Linked DNA regions of Caenorhabditis elegans. The protein of the gene in region 3 interacts with the protein of the main gene of each other region in a pairwise test. Each region holds a gene or a part of one and is shown on either strand. Other genes may lie near its edges.

Evidence for each region. Proteins that work in one complex are often made in the same cells at the same time.
Region 1: the proteins of tbc-2 (region 3) and rab-10 interact in a two-hybrid assay, tested with the Caenorhabditis elegans proteins (2 studies listed by BioGRID).
Region 2: the proteins of tbc-2 (region 3) and rab-18 interact in a two-hybrid assay, tested with the Caenorhabditis elegans proteins (one study listed by BioGRID).

What each region holds. Positions count from the first base shown.
Region 1 is NC_003279.8:6,454,508-6,460,430, reverse strand, and holds rab-10 (Ras-related protein Rab-10), read left to right. Parts: upstream 1-1,951; 5' UTR 1,952-1,958; coding exon 1,959-2,085; intron 2,086-2,140; coding exon 2,141-2,453; intron 2,454-2,530; coding exon 2,531-2,609; intron 2,610-2,979; coding exon 2,980-3,066; 3' UTR 3,067-3,149; downstream 3,150-5,923. Other genes in the region: mam-8 (MAM domain-containing protein), read left to right, coding at 3,505-3,712, 4,476-4,612, 4,666-4,948, 5,078-5,527. UniProt on the Caenorhabditis elegans protein: The small GTPases Rab are key regulators of intracellular membrane trafficking, from the formation of transport vesicles to their fusion with membranes.
Region 2 is NC_003281.10:1,076,692-1,082,517, reverse strand, and holds rab-18 (Ras-related protein Rab-18), read left to right. Parts: upstream 1-2,036; coding exon 2,037-2,113; intron 2,114-2,175; coding exon 2,176-2,231; intron 2,232-2,306; coding exon 2,307-2,560; coding exon of another isoform or gene 2,561-2,611; coding exon 2,612-2,836; 3' UTR 2,837-3,052; downstream 3,053-5,826. Other genes in the region: par-2 (RING-type domain-containing protein), read right to left, coding at 802-885, 999-1,109; kbp-4 (KNL (kinetochore null) Binding Protein), read right to left, coding at 1,260-1,363, 1,409-1,598. UniProt on the Caenorhabditis elegans protein: The small GTPases Rab are key regulators of intracellular membrane trafficking, from the formation of transport vesicles to their fusion with membranes.
Region 3 is NC_003280.10:5,821,813-5,831,457, forward strand, and holds tbc-2 (PH domain-containing protein), read right to left. Parts: upstream 5,632-9,645; 5' UTR 5,615-5,631; coding exon 5,537-5,614; intron 5,354-5,536; coding exon 5,175-5,353; intron 5,131-5,174; coding exon 4,716-5,130; intron 4,672-4,715; coding exon 4,531-4,671; intron 4,484-4,530; coding exon 4,347-4,483; intron 4,298-4,346; coding exon 3,914-4,297; intron 3,867-3,913; coding exon 3,622-3,866; intron 3,571-3,621; coding exon 3,104-3,570; intron 3,056-3,103; coding exon 2,539-3,055; intron 2,488-2,538; coding exon 2,345-2,487; intron 2,295-2,344; coding exon 2,274-2,294; 3' UTR 2,044-2,273; downstream 1-2,043. Other genes in the region: ehs-1 (Eps15 (endocytosis protein) Homologous Sequence), read left to right, coding at 1-396, 450-1,366, 1,465-1,666, 1,714-1,786; ZK1248.11 (E3 SUMO-protein ligase NSE2), read right to left, coding at 5,920-6,075, 6,278-6,481, 6,529-6,774; gtap-1 (Dynein heavy chain 7, axonemal), read right to left, coding at 6,979-7,144, 7,502-7,686, 7,733-7,905, 7,955-8,075, 8,120-8,290, 8,375-8,705; col-74 (Nematode cuticle collagen N-terminal domain-containing protein), read left to right, coding at 9,073-9,213, 9,271-9,645.

The DNA of each region.
Region 1 (5,923 bases), on a different chromosome or scaffold from region 3:
GCAAAAGCATTAGTCATTCACAATTCTCTATGTCCGCTCACCGCCCGTCCATTCTAAAGTGGGCGATGATGATTTCGCAATACTCTTTCTCTTCCTATGAACAAACATTCTTTCTTCAATATATTCTTACTGCCATTCTTACAATCCTAAGTGTTGATCGGTCGATAGCCATTCCGATTCCTACTCAAGCTAAAGTCAAGTTGTTCTCACAATCATTCAATAATTCTACATATATGTACATAGCTTCGGGAATTATTTATTCCATACTTTTCCAGCTAAATTGAAGGTTAAAAAGTATACCATAAAAACATATCGATTCCAGGATCAAATTATTCCATGCAGCATGGAATGTGAAAAAACTTCAGATGATTCTGAAAAGTCATAATTTTCGATTCGTTAATTAATTTCGTTAATATGAAGTTAATTCTAAATAGGTGGGAAAAAACTATTATTCAAATTTTCATGAACAGATTAGCTTGAAGTTTTGTGAAAAGGTTTTAATATTAATTTTCGCAATAATTTTGTTTTAAACTCAGAATGATTCATGCCGCTTGAACTTTTTCTTTTCATTTTTTGTTGAACCTTCTCCCACCGGAAACATAAAAACACATGATCCAACTACCACCACTAAGCTGTCAACACTTTGCCCTTTGCTTTCGCCAAGCTCTTGTGAAGCAGCTCATGTCTTTTTTCTTTTTCATCCTTCCAACAACGCGCGCTCTCTCTCTCTTTCTCCGTCTCTATTCCTTTTCTCGTTGTCTCGGTTCCATCGATCTCCCATTCAACATACGGCCGAGGCGCCCTCTCTTGTCTGTATCTCTGGTCTCTCTATCATCTAGAGAATGAGTCCTTTTCTTTCTCCACCATCTCATCAAATTAAACGTCTATTTCGGGGGTTTTGTCTATCTAGTAGAGGTCCAACCACACTAGCCTTCAAAAATTTCACCACGCCCAATGCCCTCCACCACTGAGAATTGACCCTTGTCAACAACCTTGTCTTCTGAATTTTTGATGACAGAGGCAACGGCTTCTTTTGATTTTTGAAGTTTTGAGATTGCGACTTCCTTTTCATCATTGACTCATTTTTTTCGATAATCAAAAATTATACACTACGAGGGAGCGATGTTCTCTTTAATTTTTTTTTGCTGTAGCTTCTTTTAATTTTCAAAACAATTTATCAAAACATAGCTTTCTGAAATCACCCTGAAATTTCAGCTGAAACTTATTATTTGAAAAAATATTAGAAATGTATTTTTTAACTTCAAAAAATCTAGCACATTTTGATATTCACCTATCATAATTATGAGTTAGTGTTCCTATTGTTTTTATATCAATTAATATGTTCATTTCTGTTCCTAAAATATTTCATCACAAATTATTGAAAAATCACAGTTTCTTGAACATGTCGTTCACATTTTATTCCTTATCACTTCACACATCTCATGCCATCTGATAACGTACTTTGCATTACAAAATTGCAAAGTTCACCATTCAATTTCAAATAAAAAGCACTTTCGATCAATAAACGTCCACCTGTACCCGTTTTAGATTCGCTTCCTTTCCAAATAACAATTATAATGATCTCTTTGTGTTTTCGTGACCCGCAGAGGAAGCCAGCAGCTGCTGTTCACCTTTTCCCGAGAATTTCCCAGAAACAGCTAATCGATGTGATTTGCGCATGCACGCGTTAATAGCTCCGTTCAAATTTTTTTTTGTTATAATGGAAACAACAATTAACTATTTTGTCCTGTTTTTTCTTTGACAACATTTTATGACAAAAACCTAATTTTGGAAAACTAGAAAAAAATTAGAAAGTTCTTCCAAATATCTTCCAATTGTCAACTCTTGATAACTTCTTCGAAATCTCAAAGTGTTCGTTCTATTTGCCATGACTCAAGTGCTTTTCTCTTACTTTTGTGCAACTTTAGTTCTCAACTTTTTCTCATTTCAGAAGAAAAATGGCTCGCCGACCGTATGACATGCTCTTCAAATTGCTGCTAATAGGCGACTCAGGAGTTGGAAAAACTTGCATTCTGTACAGATTTTCGGATGATGCCTTTAACACCACATTCATCTCAACTATTGGTTAGTTTTTATTCAGAATCTAGTGATTTCAAAATAATTTTCTTTTTTCATTCAGGAATCGACTTCAAAATTAAAACTATCGAATTAAAAGGAAAAAAGATTAAATTACAAATCTGGGACACAGCTGGACAAGAACGATTCCACACAATCACAACATCATATTACCGCGGAGCAATGGGAATTATGCTGGTTTACGATATCACAAATGCGAAAAGTTTTGACAATATTGCAAAGTGGTTGCGCAATATTGACGAACATGCATCGGAAGATGTTGTTAAAATGATATTGGGAAATAAATGTGATATGAGTGATAGACGAGTTGTGAGCAGAGAACGAGGAGAGAAGATCGCACAAGATCATGGTATTAGGTACGTTTTGGGAGATTAAAAAGGATTAAAAAATAAAAAAATATATATATATAATCTCAAACAATTTTTATTTTCAGCTTCCACGAGACTTCAGCTAAATTGAATGTTCACGTCGATACAGCGTTTTACGATTTAGCAGAAGCAATTCTGGCTAAGGTAAAGTTTTAAAATGTTTTTAAAAATTAAAATTAAGGATGTGAAAATTCGAAATATATTAGTACATTCTTTGCACGGGCGAATATATGTTCTGATAGTATTGAAATCGACGAAAATGTGATAATTAGATTGCTAAATGCATTAGAATCTGATTTTTTCTTGTGAAATTGTTCGTAATTAGTTGAAAAATCTAAGAGCCTTTTTATTTTTGTCCTCATTACTCTTCTAGTACAAAATATGAAGAGCGAAACTTCTTCGTTTTTAATCATGCAAAAAATTTTAATCGCTTCGTCAAAAATTGCACCAGAATAATCTAAATTAGTTTCATTAATACGATTGTTTTTTTTTCATAATTTGTTTTTATTTTCAGATGCCTGATTCCACTGACGAGCAATCCCGCGATACGGTGAATCCAGTGCAACCACAGAGGCAGAGTAGCAGTGGAGGATGCTGCTAGATTCATGTTTTTCCCTCTTACTTCTCTATTCTCCAATTTGGTTTTGTAAATGTTTCATCCGGGTATTCATGAATTTGAATGTCAATACATCTTTTTTGCTTCTTCTTCTTTCCCCCTCATTTTTTTTCGAATTTTTGCCTCACATTCTTCCCTTCTAGGAAACATTTTCTCCATTTCCACTTACCTGTTCTAACTAATGATCGTTTAAATATGTTCTCCATTTCTTTCAATTTCCCTCCCCCTTTTACTTTTCTTACAAATCTTCTCGTGCGCAGAGACTTAATAAAATAAATTGCTCTTCTTCCACATGCTAACTAGCCATCTTTACCTTCATTGCTTACTCTTGTATAATTGACATGTCCTCCCCCTCCCCCCGAAAACCGGTCACTTGTTGAATATCCAACGAGGTCACTCTAACCAACTTCAGGATTATGACAGATGACACCGTTCAACGCAATGCTTTTCAAAATTATCTACCTAGTAGTACTACCTATTTCTTACTGTACGGAGTTATGTACATTCAACGAAGGAACCTGTGAATGGGATATCAGACCTCCGTGGAATGTTGTCTCGTTGGCAATTCTTCCACGTCATCAGCATCCTGGACTACTAAATATTTCAAAGACACCCGATGTTATCACTTCTGGTGAGAAATTAAATGTATTTTCTAATGTCTTCTAGACTACATCTCGTGTATAGCATGTTCACTATTAAATCGAAATGACTAAATACATTGGCCGATCGGAGAACCTGAAATTTAGCTTCAATGGTTAATTTATTATTTGCACAAAGATTCACAACAATCATCTACTATCTCAAAACAGGTTTTATACGGTAGATCGCAATGTGCTCATCACCACGATTTCTTGCCGCGATTTTACTATAGTCACATAGATTCAAGCAGTCTAGTAGACCCTCACGGATGATGTCACATGTTAAAAAAGTTACCGACATTTTTAAAGATCATGTTCTACGGAATGTACCACGTCGGCCGTTTTTCTCATTGAGACTACGGTAGAATCGCGATTTATTCGAATCGTGGCGAGATATCAGTTACAGTTATCTGTACTTTTACAATTTTCTTTTCAGTTTTAGTTATAGTTTTTCTAAACATGTACTCGAATTGGGGCAAAAGTACTAAATATATATATTTGAAAATCTACAATTTTGTACAATCATCAATGTTTTAGGTCAATCTTTTGGCAAAATGCCGAAATTTGGAATCTTAAATATCCGCTTCTGTACTCGTAATTTTCGTGTAGTAACAATGAAAACATTGAGAAAGTAATTTAGTATACTGAAACCATTTACTTCAAGTTTTGAAAAATCTAGGAAGGTCACCAAGTGTGTCCTTTGAAACTTGCGCACTCTAACATAAATGGGGAATTTTAAAGTCGCTCGTTTTTCAGAAGGACCATTCCTACTTGCACAAGGAAAGTTCGCATCAGTGCCCTCGTCAAGAGTTACTTCTCAGAAAATCTCAAAATCAGATCATATGAGAATACTTGCATATCGGTATCAACGTCGTGGAATGGCGACTTTGAGGGTATTTTCCCATTTTAGTTTGAAATTTATGAAAACTCTTACTTATAATTTCAGATTCTTTTAAAAAACCAAACAGACGAGATCTTACTTGATACCATATCCTCAAATGAGATAGAAAGAATCAAATGGCATCGTCGAAGTGTCATTTTTCCTCCAATTCCAGATTATAATCAAACAAGTGTTATATTTGAATGTGATAATATTCAAACTGCTGAAGATATCATTGCTGTCGATGAAATTGACGTGGCAACACCTGCAAATGTTATGTGGGCGGGACAAGATTCCAAGTTTTTTGATGAAGAAGATATACGAAGAAGAGAAATTCGGAGAAGTTCAAGTAAGTTGATATTGTAGACAATATTCGGATCCCTAAAACGTTTTTTTCGTTCTTTCCTTGTTTTTTACTAATGCGAATAATATTCTACAAAAATCCCAAGGACCATCTCTATAACTTTTAAAAATTCAGAATTATCAAATGTATGTACTCCAATCTCTTGTCATTTTCGTTCTTCAATTTGTTCCTGGCAATCAACGAATATTCAACTTCTTCCATCTAAAATTGTGAATGAAGCAGCTGGTGAATCAACTTTGACATCTTCTCCAGTTCGTTTACCAATTGATGCACCATCTTTCATTCAATTACAAATGTTTAATAGTCAAGGATCTGTGACTTCTTTATCATTTCGAAATATTGGTTCAATGAATGAAAAAGTGATATGGACTGAAAAAGAGGATTCATCAATTCCCGATTCAACTGGAACTCAAAATGGATGGAATCGAGTTTTAATTTCATTGGAATCAGTTCCAAAAGGAATTCCAGTAATTCTAATTCTTAAATCTATAACTGGTGCAAACGATTTTGTGGCTTTCTCCTCAATTGATCTCGTCGATGGAGAATCAAAGACTTTAACGTGTGGTAATTTATTTTATACTTTTAGTGGTGCATTTCTGTAGGCATTCCAGGGGCGTTTTCCTGTGGTTGAGCAGAGGCCGAGGAAAGTTGTTCACCCTCATTTTTTCTATAATATGAAGTTACAAAGGTTCAAATAAATTTGTACCGGATCAATTAAAGATAGAGTATCGTCAGTGGGGAAGTTGCTTATTCTAGGATAAAAATTGAAAGTTACAGTACCCCAAAGTACTTTTTTAGAAATTTTTCAACTGTCTAGGTTTGGAACCTACTATAATGCTCGAAGTAATTCATAAAATCTACATTTTTGGTTAAATTTGGCAAGTTACCGAATCAATGACAGAAAATTTGGAAACATCTAAAACGTCTTTGGAGTGTTTCATTATTATATTTGGTTATTTT
Region 2 (5,826 bases), on a different chromosome or scaffold from region 3:
AAATTGGAAAAATCTGGAAAAATGGGAGGTTTTTGAGCTGAAAATCGAAAAAAATCGGTTATTTTTGAGCTAAAATCAGAAAAATCCGAAAAAAATCGGTTATTTTTGAGCTAAAATCAGAAAAATCCGAAAAAATTGGGGTTTTTTGGGCTAAAAATTGTAAAAGTCCGGAAAAATTGTGGGTTTCGAGCTAAAAATCGTTAAAATATGGGAAAAACTGGAGTTTTTTGGCTAAAAACCGAAAAAATCCGGCAAAATTGGGGTTTTTAGGGCTAAAAATCGGAAAAATCCAAAATTTTAAGCTAAAATCTGTAAAAATCCGAGAAAAACTGGGGTTTCTGAGCTGAAAATCGAAAAAAATCTGAAAAATTGTGGTTTTTAAGCTAAAAACTGTAAAAATCCGAGAAAAACTGGGGTTTTTGTGCTGAAAATCTTAAAAATCCAAAGTTTTTAGTCTAAAAATCGTAAAAATCGGCAAAAAACTGTAAAAATCCGAGAAAATCTGTGATTATTATGCTAAAAATCGGAAAAAATGCGGTTTTCTAGCTAAAAATCCCCAAAAAATCGTGATTTTTGGCTGAAAATCTGGAAAAATGGGCAAAAACAAGACAATTTTCGGAATTTCAAGTTTTTATGAGAAAATTTCGCATTTTTCCCCGATTTTTCACATTTATAGCTGGAAAAAGACGAAAATTGCACATTTTTGGGTCAAAAATGGGTAAAATTAAGCGATTTTTAATGGAAAATCCGCCATTTTTCACGCAATTTTTCTTGAAATCCTCGGTATTTCCATGTTCTAACCCTGTCGAAAAGCTGATCACACAGTGGACAGAGGAGTTCCGAGCTCAAATCGCGTCGAACCGGCTGTTGAACGTCGTTGATGCACTGAAAATTGTGTTTTTAGGCGGTTTCCAGGGCGAAAAACACGATTTTCTGCTTATTTTCCAGCAAAAAATGCGTTTTTTCGATTTTTTTCGCCGCTAAAAATCCGATTTTACCGCTGTAGAAGTAGTTGCGTTGGACTCCAGCAGACGTGGCGATGAGTTGGCAATCGATAAATCGCTCTGCGAAGCCCGTATTTGAGCGGATGAAGTGTCTAAATCCGTCATTTTTGGGCTGAAAATGAGGATTTTGAGCCTGAAAAATCATTGAAAAACGCTGAAAAATAAGTATAAAATGCATGAAAAGTACAGAAAACTGGGAAAAACAACGGGGTTAAGGAATACAGAACTTTATATGTACAGAAATAATGAAAATTGTTAGAAAATTTCCTCGGCGACCTTCTTCAGCTCATCCTGAAACTCTTTTTGAAGAGAAAACGCGAATTCCTTGACTTTATACTGCTCCTGGAGGTCTTCGAGTTCTAGGAAATGGGAAAATTATTGTGAAAATTCACTAAATTTCTCACGTTTTTCCACCAATTTTCGCTTCTCGAGCGTCTCCTCCAGCTTCCGATCGGCCTCGTCCATTTCCTTGTTAATTATCTGCAGTTTGGAGGCGCAAACTTCTTGGAGATCCGAAAAATCTTGGGTTTTCGGCAGTTTTTCGACTTTTACCGCGAGAACTTCGTTGATCATGTCGTCGATTGATTTTTGCATTTTTTTTGATTGCTGAAAACTGATAAAAATTTGGAAAAATTATAAAAAACAAAAAAAATAAAAATAAAAAACACGAAAAACGTTTAAAAATTAAAAAAACAAAAAAACAAATTTCAAACAAATCCATTTTCGCGCCATCGGGTCTCACCACGACAGGCACTTGGCATCGTGCCAAGTGCAAGTGCGCTCCATCGCTCTCTTTTCCGAAAGAGCGTCTCGTGCAACGACATCTGACATTTTCGAAGGGAAATTTATTGATTTTTCGGCAAATTTTTGGGTTTTAAGGTGAAAAATCTATTTAAAAGTGTTAAAAAATTAACTTAAAATGGGGAAAATACCCTGAAAAATCGAGTTTTTTATCTTTTATCCTTAAAAACGTAAATTTCCCAACAAAAAAAAAATTATCCTGCATTTTCCCTTCGTTTTTACGAATTCCAGATGTCCGACGACAGTTCAAGCCCCCTCACAACTCTCAAAATCCTGATTATCGGCGAAAGTGGCGTAGGGAAGTCGAGGTGAGGGGTTTTCTCGCCCAAAAAAAATTTAAAAAAATCAATTTAAATTCAAAAATTTTCAGCTTAATGCTACGATTCGTGGACGATGTCTTCGATCCTGAGCAGGCTGCAACGATAGGTTCGTGGAAATTCCAGGGATTTTTGGATTTTTTGATTTTTAGGCCAAAAAAACCCTAAATTTATTGTTTTTTAGGCGTGGATTTCCGCGTAACTTCAATGGCAATCGACGGAAATCGTGTAAAACTCGCAATTTGGGACACCGCCGGCCAGGAGAGGTTCCGTACCCTCACGCCGAGCTATTATCGTGGAGCACAGGGCGTAATTTGCGTGTATGACGTCACTAGCCGCAGCTCCTTCGAGAAATTGAATCATTGGATGCAAGAAGTCGATACTTATTGCACAAATGACAATATTATCAAGATGATGGTCGCGAACAAGATTGATATGGTGCGAAAAAGCCGATTTTGTTCGATTTTTGGCCTAAAAAATAATTTTCAGCCAAATCGAGTGGTAACCCGCGAGGAAGGCCTAAAATTCGCAAAACGCCACCGCACACTATTCATTGAAGCTTCTGCGAAGACTAAGGAGGGTGTACAGTGCACATTTGAGGAGCTTATCGAGAAAATCATTCAAACGCCCGACTTATGGGACAATGACCGCCCGTCTTTTCGGTTGGGACAACCGACGGGCTCCAGTGGTGGCGGCGGAATGTGTGGATGCTAGGAAATTCTCGCGGAAAATTCGTTCATTTTGACATAAAATCGATATTTTTACTGTAAAATTCATCAATTTTCACCTAAAATCCTGTTTTTTTCATGTAAATTGTCAAAATTTGACCTAAAATCCTGTTTTTTCCATGTAAAAACGTGAATTTCGGTTTAAAATCGCCAATTTTCCCTCAAAATCGCCGTTTTTTCCATATAAAAATGTCCAACTTTGGCTTAAAATCGCTGGTTTTTCATGCAAAGTTTATCGATTTTAACCTAAATTAGGCCTTTTTCCATGTAAAAATGCAAATTTTCCCCTAAAATCGCCAATTTCCCAGCAAAATCGCTGTTTTCGATGCAAAATTCATCAATTTTCACCTAAAATAGCCCGTTTTTTTTCATGTAAATTGCCAAATTTTGACCTAAAATAACCATTTTTTCATGTAAAATCGCCGATTTTGGCTTAAAATCGCAAATTTTCCCCCATAATGGCCGTTTTTCATGGAAAATCGCCGATTTTGGCTTAAAATCGCCAATTTCCCATCAAAATCGCTGTTTTCGATGCAAAATTTATCGATTTTCACCTAAAATAGCTATTTTTCCCTGTAAAAATGTCAATTTTGACTTGAAATTGCCAATTTTCACCTGAAATCCCCGTTTTTCATTCAAAATTTATCGATTTTCACCTAAAATAGCTATTTTCCATGAGGAAATGTCGATTTTGGCTTAAAATTGCCACTTTTTCATGTAAAAATGTCAATTTTTCTCAAAAATCGCCGTTTTTCGTGCAAAATTTATCGATTTTCATCTAAAAAAGCTATTTTCCATACAAAAATACCAATTTTGGCTTAAAATTGCCACACTTTTTCATGTAAAAATGCCATTTTTTCCATGTAAAAACGACAATTTTCCCCCAAAATCGCTGTTTTCCATGTAAAATTACCAATTTCGGCTCAAAATTTCCAATTTTCATGTAACATTTATCGATTTTCACCTAAATTAGCCATTTTTCCGAGCAAAAATGCAAATTTTGGCCTAAAATCGCCAATTTTCCCCCAAAATTGTCGTTTTTCCGTGTAAAATTCATCGATTTTCACTTAAAATAGCTATTTTCCACGCAAAATTTATCGATTTTTACCTAAATTAGGCCCTTTTTTCATGTAAAATGTCAATTTTGACCTAAAATCGCTGGTTTTTCATGCACAATTCATCGATTTTCACCTAAAAAAAAAGTTCTTTTCCATGTAAAAATGCCAATTTTGTCTTAAAATTGTCAATTTTTCCCCAAAATTGCTGTTTTTAATGTGCAAAATTCATCGATTTTTCCGCGAAAAATCCCCGTTTTCCATGCAAAATTTATCGATTTTTACCTAAATTAGGTCGATTTTCCCCCAAAATTCCCCCATTTTTCATGTAAAATTCGTCCATTTTCCCCGCTAAATTGTACAAAAAACCACCCGAAAATCCCCCAATTTCACATAATTCTTGTCAAATTTCACACATTTTCAGTGCCTTTAAGCCCCGTTTTTTTGCTATAAAATTGCAACATTTTTCCTGTAATTTATTGGATTTTTGTGTTATTTTTTCTCTCGTTTTCAGCGATTTTCAGCATATCTTCATCGATTTTTTGCAGATTTTCAGCTATTTTTTTATCGATTTTTTTGGGAGATTTTTGTCATTTTTCACCTAATTTTATTGATTTTCAGCCTAATTTTGTGTGTGCTTTTACCCATTTTTCTATTATTTCCATCATTTTCCCCGAAATTTTATAGATTCTACCTATTTTTCAGCAAAATCTCATTTTTCAGCGATTTTTCATCATTTAAGCTATTTTTTATCGATTTTCACCGAATTTTCAGCTATTTTATCAGAAAAATCTCAGTTTTTTCCGGCAAATTCACTCAAATTTCGCCTATTTTAGCGAGGAGCTCTTTTTTCCAGCATTTTCACCGAATTTTCTTTTTTTTTCGTAAAAAAATCACCAAATTTCCTCATTTCCAACCTATTTTCTCCATTTTTTCGCGGTTTTTCCCGAATTTTAAACAATTTTTCGCCAAAAAACCCCAAATTTCTTCATTTCCAACCTTTTTATTCCATATTTTCGCCATTTTCTCGGGATTTTCAGCTATTTTTTCCAGAAAAACTCCTATTTTTTCGGCAAATTCACTCAAATACCGTTTATTTTCTCACAATTTATCGTTTTGGAGCTATTTTTCCAGCATTTTCACCGAATTTTAAGCAATTTTTTAAAAAATCACCAAATTTCCTCATTTTCGTCCAATTTTCTCCATTTTTTCGCGATTTTGAGCAATTTTTTCCAGAAAAACTCCAAATTTTCTCACTTTCACCCTATTTTTTTCCATATTTTCGCCATTTTGTCGGGTTTTTCAGCTATTTTTTCAGAAAAACCTCCATTTTTTCGCGATTTCCACCGAATTTTCAACGATTTTTCCAAAAAATCGCCAAATTTCCTCATTTTCGCCCAATTGTCTCCATTTTTCCGCGGTTTTCCCCTGATTTTCGGCTATTTTTTTTTTCAGAGAAACTCATTTTTTCGCGATTTCCACCGAATTTTCAGCTATTTTTCCATTAAAAAAACCCATTTTTTCGTGAATTTCTCCGAATTTTCGGTTTTTTTTTTCAGAAAATTCGGAAAAATTGGAATTTTTCACTGAAAACTCTGAAAAATTCAATAAAAATTGGATATTTTTACTAAAAACTCGGGAAAATTCGTGAAAATTGCCGTTTTTCACGTGAAAATTCGAGAAAAATTGAAAAATGTGGAATTAGTATCCAAAAATGCTCTCGGAGCCCAAAATTCAGGAAAATCCTGAAAAAATTAACCAATTTTACTCAGAAAACTGCAAAATTTTTTTTTCAGTTTTTCTCGCAAAAATGTGCTAAACTCTCAGATTAAAATTCAATTTTCCGTGGCAAATGTGCTCTATCGGTGATTTTGGTGTGAAAATTCCAAACTTTTGCATTAGAAATTACAAAATTTTGGAA
Region 3 (9,645 bases):
GATGGGATCGAGAGCAGGATCTGTGACGTCATTGGATGATGTGAACATGAGTCAATCGTATTCTGCAACGATGCCACGTGCATATCCACCACAACCAGGTCGTGCTTACTCTGCACAGGCTCATGTGAATGGATCACGAACCAGTGGTGCATCAACTCCGATATCTGCTTCTCACTCGATTCACTCATTTCCTGCTGGTGAATGGCCTATCAATACAGGAGATTATGCTGATCAATTTGCTCAAACTGATACGAATAAGGATGGATTGGTTGATGGCATGGATATGAGAGCTCCCATGATGACTACTGGATTGAGTGCACAGATATTAGCACATGTCTGGGCATTAGCAGATATAAAAAAATGTGGACAGTTGAATTTGGAGCAATTTGCTTTGACGTAAGTCTTTCAAGTTTACCAAATATCTAGTGTAACTAAATATTAATTTTCAGAATGCATCTTCTTGACATGGCAAAACGAGGCGAGTCCATCCCATCAGAACTGCCTTTACATCTGATTCCACCTTCATTCCGCCCACCTACGGAACCTTCAGCTTTGCATCATCCTGCTCAATCAGTTTCAACTCCACAGCTCCCAGAAGCAACTTCGATGGAAATTAAAGAAGCTTTGGAAGGCGAAAACGAAGAGATGAAGCAGCTCGCAGAGTCTATTCAATCAATGCTGGTGGAGCGGAAAACTGCAGAAGAAGCTGTTTTACAACTAGAAGCTGATATGACTATTAAGAACTCGAGTATCAAAAATCTGCAGGTTGAATTGGCCACCTTGGAGTCGACAGTTAAACAGTTGGAGCGACAAAAAGGTGAAGCCACACGAAGATTAGCTGATTATGATACTCAAATAGAACAGTTAGAATCAGCATGTAAAGCACAGAAAGAAACGAAAGAAGATACCGAGAAACGAATGCAACAAATTGATGAAGATGCAAAGAATGCTGAGGACTGTAAAGCAAATGATGAAAAAGAAATGGAAGAATTGAAAAAAGAAATTGAAATGCTCGATAATCAATTCAAAACTGTTCGTGGAGAAATTGTCAAAGAAACATCACAAAGAGAGCAAAAGGTGGCCGAATTGACAACTCTAGAACGAAAAGAAGCAAGAGATCAGATACAAATGGAAAAGCTGGATGCTGCAATCGAGAACACGACAAAACTAACAGAACAAGTATCAGATGCAGTCGAAAAATCCGAGGAGGAAATGGTTCAAATTCTGAGGTCGCAACAACGATTATTGTCTACTGTAATCGATCAATCGTTGCTATCCGATGACACTGTTTATGGAGAAACAGCTGGAACATCATCTCAAAATCATGTTCAACAACCACCTGATCCGTTTGCATCCGCCAGAGCAAGTAGGTTTATATTTTTAAGAAACAAAAAGAGTTATGAAAACTTTTATTCTGACTTAAAGTTTTGAAATATGAATATATAACATAAATTCAATTTCCAGATCCTGCTGCTGATCCATTCGCCCAAGTAGATCAGTTCGGCTCATCTGGACATTTTGATGCCGCTTTCCCAACTGATCCATTTGCTCAAGGAGGCTTCCCATCGGATTCTGGCTTCGCACAATCGGCTCCCGCAAAACCTGCTCCACCTCGCCCAGCTCCTCCAAAATCTGCTCGCGAAACACCTGTCAATGATCCTTTTGCGTAAGTCTTAGTGAGTATCAATTTATTTAAAGTCTAAATAATTTCAGCCCATCACAAGGACAATCAACTCAACCGGCTGGATTCGCTGATTTTGCGGACTTTGGATCGGCTTTCAATTGATTTTTAATAATTATACCTTACCCACTATAAGCCCCAACGCCAGTCAAATTGTTTTACTTTGCCCAAATGTTTACCTGTGCCAAGTCATCGACATAATTTATTGATGCACATTTTTAAGATTAGTTTTTTTGCACTTTCCCACTTGAATTGTCACTTTTCTAGGTTATGAAATCAGAGCAATAATGTTATATACTGTAGAATATGAATATGCATGATTATTATGTAAATTATGAGTTATAATATATAGTAAATGATTTGCAGATTAATTTTATGTTGCGTATTTGATATTTTCAGTCTCATGTGTAAAAACGGAGCACAAGTAAACGGGTTGAAGGGGGGGAAGTAAACCGTAAAAGAAATTGATAAGGAAAAAGGAGAATCACAGAAGTTTGAAAATAATAGTGAAAAAGTTGTGTGAAGAAGACATAATTATGCTAGAAATCGAAAGAAAATACAGATTAGATGTACAAGAATGTTCGTGTCGGATTTACATACAGTGGCCAGTATCCTGAAAATAATAATCGCTATATTAGAATTTATTTATATATTACTGTTTACCTTCAATTGTGTCAAATAGAGTTGTCGTTTAGTTTCTATAGTCTTCTGAGGGAACGGATTCAGTTCGTTGAATGCCACTTGAGCTAGCGACTTGAAGTCAATGATATGTTCTTGAGCTTTGCTGAGACATTGATGAACTGTGCCTGAAAATTCTTGTTAAAAAACTAATAAATTTAAAGTTGTAAGTCACAAACCAATAGTTTTACATTGAAGAACGTGAGGTTCGCATATTTTGAAAAGTGCCAGTGCGAATCGAAAAAGAACCTTATTTCCTTCATAGAGGAATGCATCGAATATAGTCAGATAAATAGAATGCGGGAGTACATCTACAAAACACGTCAGGAACCAACTGAGCGCGAAAAGTGAAAGATCAACTTCAAGAGCTCTCAAATGTGCAGCCAATTTTGGAAGCTTTTCTGCTACAAGATCGCGGAGAACTTTCTGATCGGCAACCGCTCCGATCAGTGAGCTAGTGTAATATCCTTCAGGTTGGAGATGTTCCACACATGCTACAAGGAACCAGAACGAATCCTGCTCATCCAGGTTTAACAGAGCAATTGCAGCAAGACGATTGAGTCCTTGGCAGTAGCCGACGTGAGAGTTATGGTATCGGAAGGCGTAGAGTACGTTTCGTAGTTTTTCTATGTTAGCAGAATCTGGCTCGTCGAAAAGTTTATTCGTGGGCAGAGTTCGAGCGAGGTCAAGATCAATCTGAAAAAATAATATGAGAAACTCGAATTTAGAATAATATAAATATACCTGTTTGATGGCTGCATCGTAACTTCCATCCTGCTTCTTTGTTCCAGCCTTTCTGAGCATACTTTGATAGTATCCATTACCCAATTCTGCTTGCTTATCCTTCACCCAATGTGTCACAATTATCTTCCATACACGACCTCTGTAGGCAGGTGGTACTCCAGTTCGAATAAGAGTTTTTAGATCAGGTGAAGACATGATTGCAGTCTGCCGGGATACTGTATTGTTGACAAGGAACGCATCCCACGATTGTAACCATTTCATGTATTCTTCAGATTGTTCCAATTTCGTTGCTTCCACTACGTCTCCCGCTTTTTTCATGTAAAACGTGGCAGTATCCAAAAGATCATCGCTTTCAGAAAAATCATCCTTTTTATAGAATCCCAACTGATCCGTGAGGTTTTGCTGAGATTCTCGAGGTGTTCTTGCCGACTCTTCGAGTAATTCTTTCAACACACCAGGTTCCATTACTGTAGAGCAAAAGTGATTATATTATAACAGAAAATTGTTTAAAAACTCACTTTTTCCTGGTTTTGTCGGAGACTTAAAATGGTTTAGAACCATCAAATAACGGCTTTTTAATTGGTAATAGCAGGCTTCGAGGTCGAAATTTTGACGAATCAGCTTCTTCTCTCGATCTTCCAGAGATTGAGTGATAGCATGCAATTGGACTATTTCCGCATTCAAAAACTGATTCTGGGTACGGTATCCTTCTACGAGATCTTGAAGTTCTCCAATATCACGAACATTTTCTTCGTCTAGAACCCTAAAATAAAATACTTTAAAATTTAAATTGTAAAAATAAATTCGTACTTCCTGGTAGCTTCTTCACAATCAACTGATGATACATCGACAAGAATGCCTTCAGGAACCTCAACATCCGATACAAGTCCATTTGCGTCTGCAGGAATATTCGAGCTTCTTTCAGATATCGATCCTAGTAAGTCTTCTCGATTTTCTTCTTCACACATTCGAAGAATAAGCTCTTCTTTTGTTCGTAATGATTCTCGGAAAGCTTCTACTGATTGTTGCAAATCATTGATCGTATCCTCAAGCCTTACATTTTGATCTTCAAGATCACGAACTCGTCGAGCATTCATGCTATTCGAAATATGTAATTCGGTGACTTGTCGCTCCTTTTCCAGTATATACTCTCGCATTTCCTCCTTATTATCTCCCATATCCTCGATTTTCTGACTAAAATTTCAACAATTTATTATGATTTTAATTAAATAATAAAACTCACAGTGCTTCATTATTTCTTTGAGCTAGTAGAAGAGCAGCTCTCAGCGAATCGACAACTTCCTCCAGACTTGAAACTTTATCAGACAATTCAATAACTTTCTCTTCAGGAGTTAGATCAACAGAAGATACTGTACCTTTCTGAAAATTTTACTCATAGTGAATGTTTGATCACTATTTGAACATACTCTACTTCCAACAACTGGTTCATCGGACGTATTTTGCCGACTTCTGCTCCAAGTCGAAAGATTTCTTCGAATAGCTCGAAAAGGAGCTTCTATACTTTGATCAGCTAGTCGCTTTAATACAGTTTCTGGGCTTTCGATTGTCTGAAAGTATAATTTGAAAGTTTTCAAGTTGTATGTTCACTTACCTTTGGCATCTGTAGAGATCGTTCATTCAGCTGTCCATTTGGATTCAAATACCATTCCGTTGCAGATCCTTCAGCTGGTATTTTCGTGTTGTCTGTGTCTTCAACCACTTCGGCAGTTTCCTCAGATGAGTGAGGAACATCAGAAGATGTTTCAGCGTCTGTTTCTTCTTCAGTTAGGAATTGTGTTCGTTTCTTTGGTTTTGGACTTCTTGGTGGTGGTACTGGAGAAGGAGACGAGCATTCTTCGAGGACCGAAGACGAATTTCTTCCCGTTAAAGACGAAATATCTAGACTTGAATCAGATTTTGATTTCGTTGCCTTCCAGCTTCTTTTCCGTGTACTTTGAAGAGCTTTCATCCATTCATTGCGTTGCTTGTCTGAACTACATTCCAGCGCAATTACTTCATTGTTAGAGCTGAAATAAGTCGATTTTTAACGAATTAATTATATTAAACTCACTGAATTTCAAAACGGCCTTTTTCTCTTGGATCATAAGTGAATGCTGCGCCACTCAATGAGACTCTTCCGATACATTTTATGTCATCTGAATCTTTATACCAGTAAAGATATGGAGTTGAGTCACAGAGTGCGAACCAATAGCGACGGCGTGTTATCAGACCGATCGAACGAACTTCGATCTGGAAACAGTGGATATCATTTTTGTTGATTCCTAAGATTGGCATTTAATGTTTTTAAAAGTTCTTCGGGATCAAATTTAAAATAGTAATGTCATTTTAAAATTTTCTGGACATTTTAAAATAAATCTTTAAATTTTCTGGAAATTTTTCCGAAAATAATATATTTAGGCCAAACTACCGTACCCGATGCAAGTATCCACAGATTGCCGAAGTTTTTAGTTCGCGAGCTGGTGGGCTGATTGTCCCCGGCGCCGCAGACATCCGCGTTATCTGAAGTTCTGAAAGTAGGAATAGATATGAGAGATTTAGAAAGAATAACAAAAGTAGTATTTGTATCGTATGTTCAACGACTCATCGCACTGGACAAACTGGTTTTTTATTCGACCACCAGGCGAGGGAAGGTGGCGAACGGAGAGGGAGAGAACGTATCGAATTTTTATGAAACAAAATGAGAAAAAAAGAAGTGAAATGCAGGAAGAGGTATTGAGAAGTGAAGTGAAAATGAAATAGAGTAAGAGATCAATATGAAATGATTAAGAGATGACTAAAATTAGTCATCAAATAATTTATTGTTGCTGTTTAATATTCGTCCAGTAATCGGGATAATCGGCGAGTTGGCCGATGTTGATAGTTTCAGAGCATCCTTGCATTGCACACTTGATAACTCGCTTTTTGCCAGCAAACTCATGAATTGAATCCCTATCGTAGACGTGTCCACAGTTCTGGAATATTGATTTATTGATATAAAATAAAACTTTTGTTGCAATTTGGTGGTGATGAAATGTTTCGAAAGATAAATAAACGAACAAGGATGGTCAATCAAAAAATAATGAGTCATAAATTGCAGATGATATATTTGCACAACCCGAATGACAAGACGGGGATGAAATGTTGAAAAATAGAGAAAAAATGTTAAAAACTTACCTTACTGATAACTGGATTGACAATATCTTTCTTCGAAATTGGATCCTTTCTACTATGTTGAACTTGCATCACTTCCATTTCATTTTCATCGTTTTTACTTTCATCCCTTATAGATTTGATAATGTCTTTGAAGTACTGTCGCTCGCCTTTCACATTTTTATGGGTTTTTTTCGCCTTCTCGTATAACTCCTCCAATGCTTTTTCCTGCAAAATTATTATTAATATAATTTGTTTAAATATCTGCAACGTACATTCGGAACCTCGTCTGAACCATCTTTCAGGTCATTATGCAACGCTTCAAAAATGTGTTGCATTTGAGCACCTTCAGTCTCCAATTCCATCAACTTCATTGCATCTTTCATCAATGTTTCTTTGAATTCTTCAGAATCTACTTCATTTGAAATAGCATTTTTTGAATTGATATGAAGAACATCCTCAGCAGCCTTTCTCAGACTTTTTCGAATAATTTCCATACTAGTGGCGAGCTGGGTAGACATCTGGAAGGGATTTCACAACTTATTGAACTTCTAAATAACAAAAAAAGATAATTCAAAAATCGTTATATACGAATAACATTAGCCTACAAATGAACATTTAAAATTTAAAATTTTTTATTGAATTAACCCATATTTTCAGAAAGTGATTATGCATGAAAATTTTGAACATAAGGCGATAAAAACCAGGCAGTGAATAAGAAGTGATTAGGTACCCATATTCAATTTTCCTATTCGGACAGAAAGATGGAAAAATATGGAATCTTTGTCGTTTCCCCAAGCTTCGTGTAGAGAAAGCAGCTTTTGTAAAGTAATTCGAACACTTGTTTCACATCGATCCAAATAGTCAAGATCCAACGTGTTGGAGACTGATCTGAAAATAGTAATTTTTCATTTTAAAAAGCTCAATCAAAAAAGCTGCAGTCATGGCTGTAAATGTTTTTTTTTTTGGAAAAAAATACGAAAAATTATGCTTCACAAAACAATTTTGAGTAGAAAAAAATTAAAGTCGAAATTTTAAAAGAAAGTACAATTTTGGTCAACTTGTTTTAGATTTTCAAAATGAAGTTTCAAACTTAATAATTCTTAGTTTTGGTTTTTTGTTGCTTTTTTTGTGTTTTCGGTGGAAAAACTTTTTGATCTGATCTGAAAGTTGAAATTTAAATCCAATGGCATTGAAAGTGCCAAAATATTAATTTAAATGTTTGCATTTAATAATTGTATAACTTACCGTAACCGTATCTCATCTGTCATAGTCATAAACATATCCATATTTTCATGAACCAATCGTCTGATTCCAATGCGTACAACAAGATCTGAGAGCTTCTTGTGACCATCTGTAATCGCATTTTCCACCTGCTTCAAGCTTGTTGCATTCACAATTTGATCACGTGCCGTTCGAAATACATAGCGAACCTGGAAAAGGATATTTGAAAATTATAAAAAAGATATTTAAGAAAACCTTATCAGAGAACAACTCTCTGAAATGTGACACAACTTGTTCGAGTGTGAATACAAAGAAACGAAGTTTTGTTCTAAGTGCTCGATTCATTTTCTCGATTGCATTCGTTTTGTGATGAGCGAGAGAAACATCGATTGTGGATTGTGGACATTTCATTCGAGATAGTAGTTCTTCTGAAACAAAAAATGTAAAATTACATCCTTGACCGGTTGAAAAGCTCACTGTCATTAGCCATCGTAACTAGCAATTCTCTGGTTCGATATGCGCTGTGTGCAAACTTCATACACTGATTCATGACGTCAATAACTTCGGGACGAATGAATGAAGCCAGCATATGCTCGAGCTGAAAAACATTTAATTTTCAAAATTTTATTCCAATGCTAATACCTTGCATGTGAATTCAGATTTTGTTGAAATCCATGAGAATATATTCATATTTTCCTTACTCATCCGACCTCTCGATGCCAACCAAAATGCATCAGCAAAGTTGGTAACATTGGAATCTGATCGGAAGACTGTTGTTGCATATTGCTGTGAAATCGAACCAATGACAACATTCTGAAAGAAAAAGTTTTTGTCAGACACCCATCAATTCTCCGAACTGATAATATTTTTTTTTATCAGTAAATTTAAATCACATGCCTCTAAGTCGACCCACAAGTTGACAAATCGGTTGTTTCTATGTAATTCATTGAGTAGCTCTTGTGCAAACTGATCCTGAAGTAGGAGACATGTATCAAAAAATAGAGATCGGAATTCATCAAATGGTAGAAGATCTTCAGTGAATTTAGCTGCGGCTCGTAATGAATCAAATGCATTCGTGAATGTTTTGACTGGAAATTCAATTAATCCAACACGGATCCGACATTTGACTGCTTCAAGAATGATTTCAATCAGTTCTTCATCCCAAAGTAACGATTGAACTTCTTTGATATCTCGACAAAGTAGAATTTGAGCATCCGGTTTGACGTCACTAAAAATAAAGTTTTAAATTAGTATTTACGGAGTTTTCGTTATAATTTTCAGATTATTTTGATTATTAGTAACATTTCAAACACCATCACTAATCACTTATTCTCCACACCCTGATATCAACCCGTTTATCTCATGGCCATTCTAGCGGAAATAAGTGAAATATGCAAATATCTCTCTAGATATCTCTTCCGAATATGCAATATTTCGCATGGAAATCAAATTAAAAAACGCTGGAGAAATTTGAGAATTGACATGATGGAATTTTTGGAGGAAATTCTGAAAACAGGTTGAATGATGAATGACCATAGCTAGAAAAAAGTATAAAAAGCAATGAGAGAAATCTGATAATTATGTCAAGTCTGAATATGACGTCGACAGCTACTGCATACGCGGCTATTACCGTCGGACTCGTTTCGATCGGATTCATTCTTTTTGCTGTTCAAGGTATCAGCTCCAACATCGAAGATATCCGAAATGAGATGAATATTGAGATGGATGCATGGAAGGTAAGTAAATATAAAGTCCGTTATATGTTATATAGTAATAAAAATGTGAAATTTTAGTTTGAAACTGACAGTCTCTATCGTGATATGCAAAAGTTCGGCCGTGTTAAACGTCAGTATGGAGGATATGGAGCTTCTGGAGCCAACCCAACACCTCACGGTGGATTCCCAGGAGGCGCATCCCCAATGAATCCAGGAAGCTTCCCAGGAGTTGTCGGAGTGCCACCACAATTCAACCCAACACAAGGAGGAGAACCAAATCCAGGAGGATCTTGCAACTGCCAGGCTGACAATTCGTGCCCAGCTGGACCAGCTGGACCAAAGGGAGCTCAAGGATCTGACGGAATCGACGGAATTCCAGGAGTGCCAGGAATCGATGGACAGGATGCTGACGATGCTCAAGCTCAAACTCAACAATATGCAGGATGCTTCACT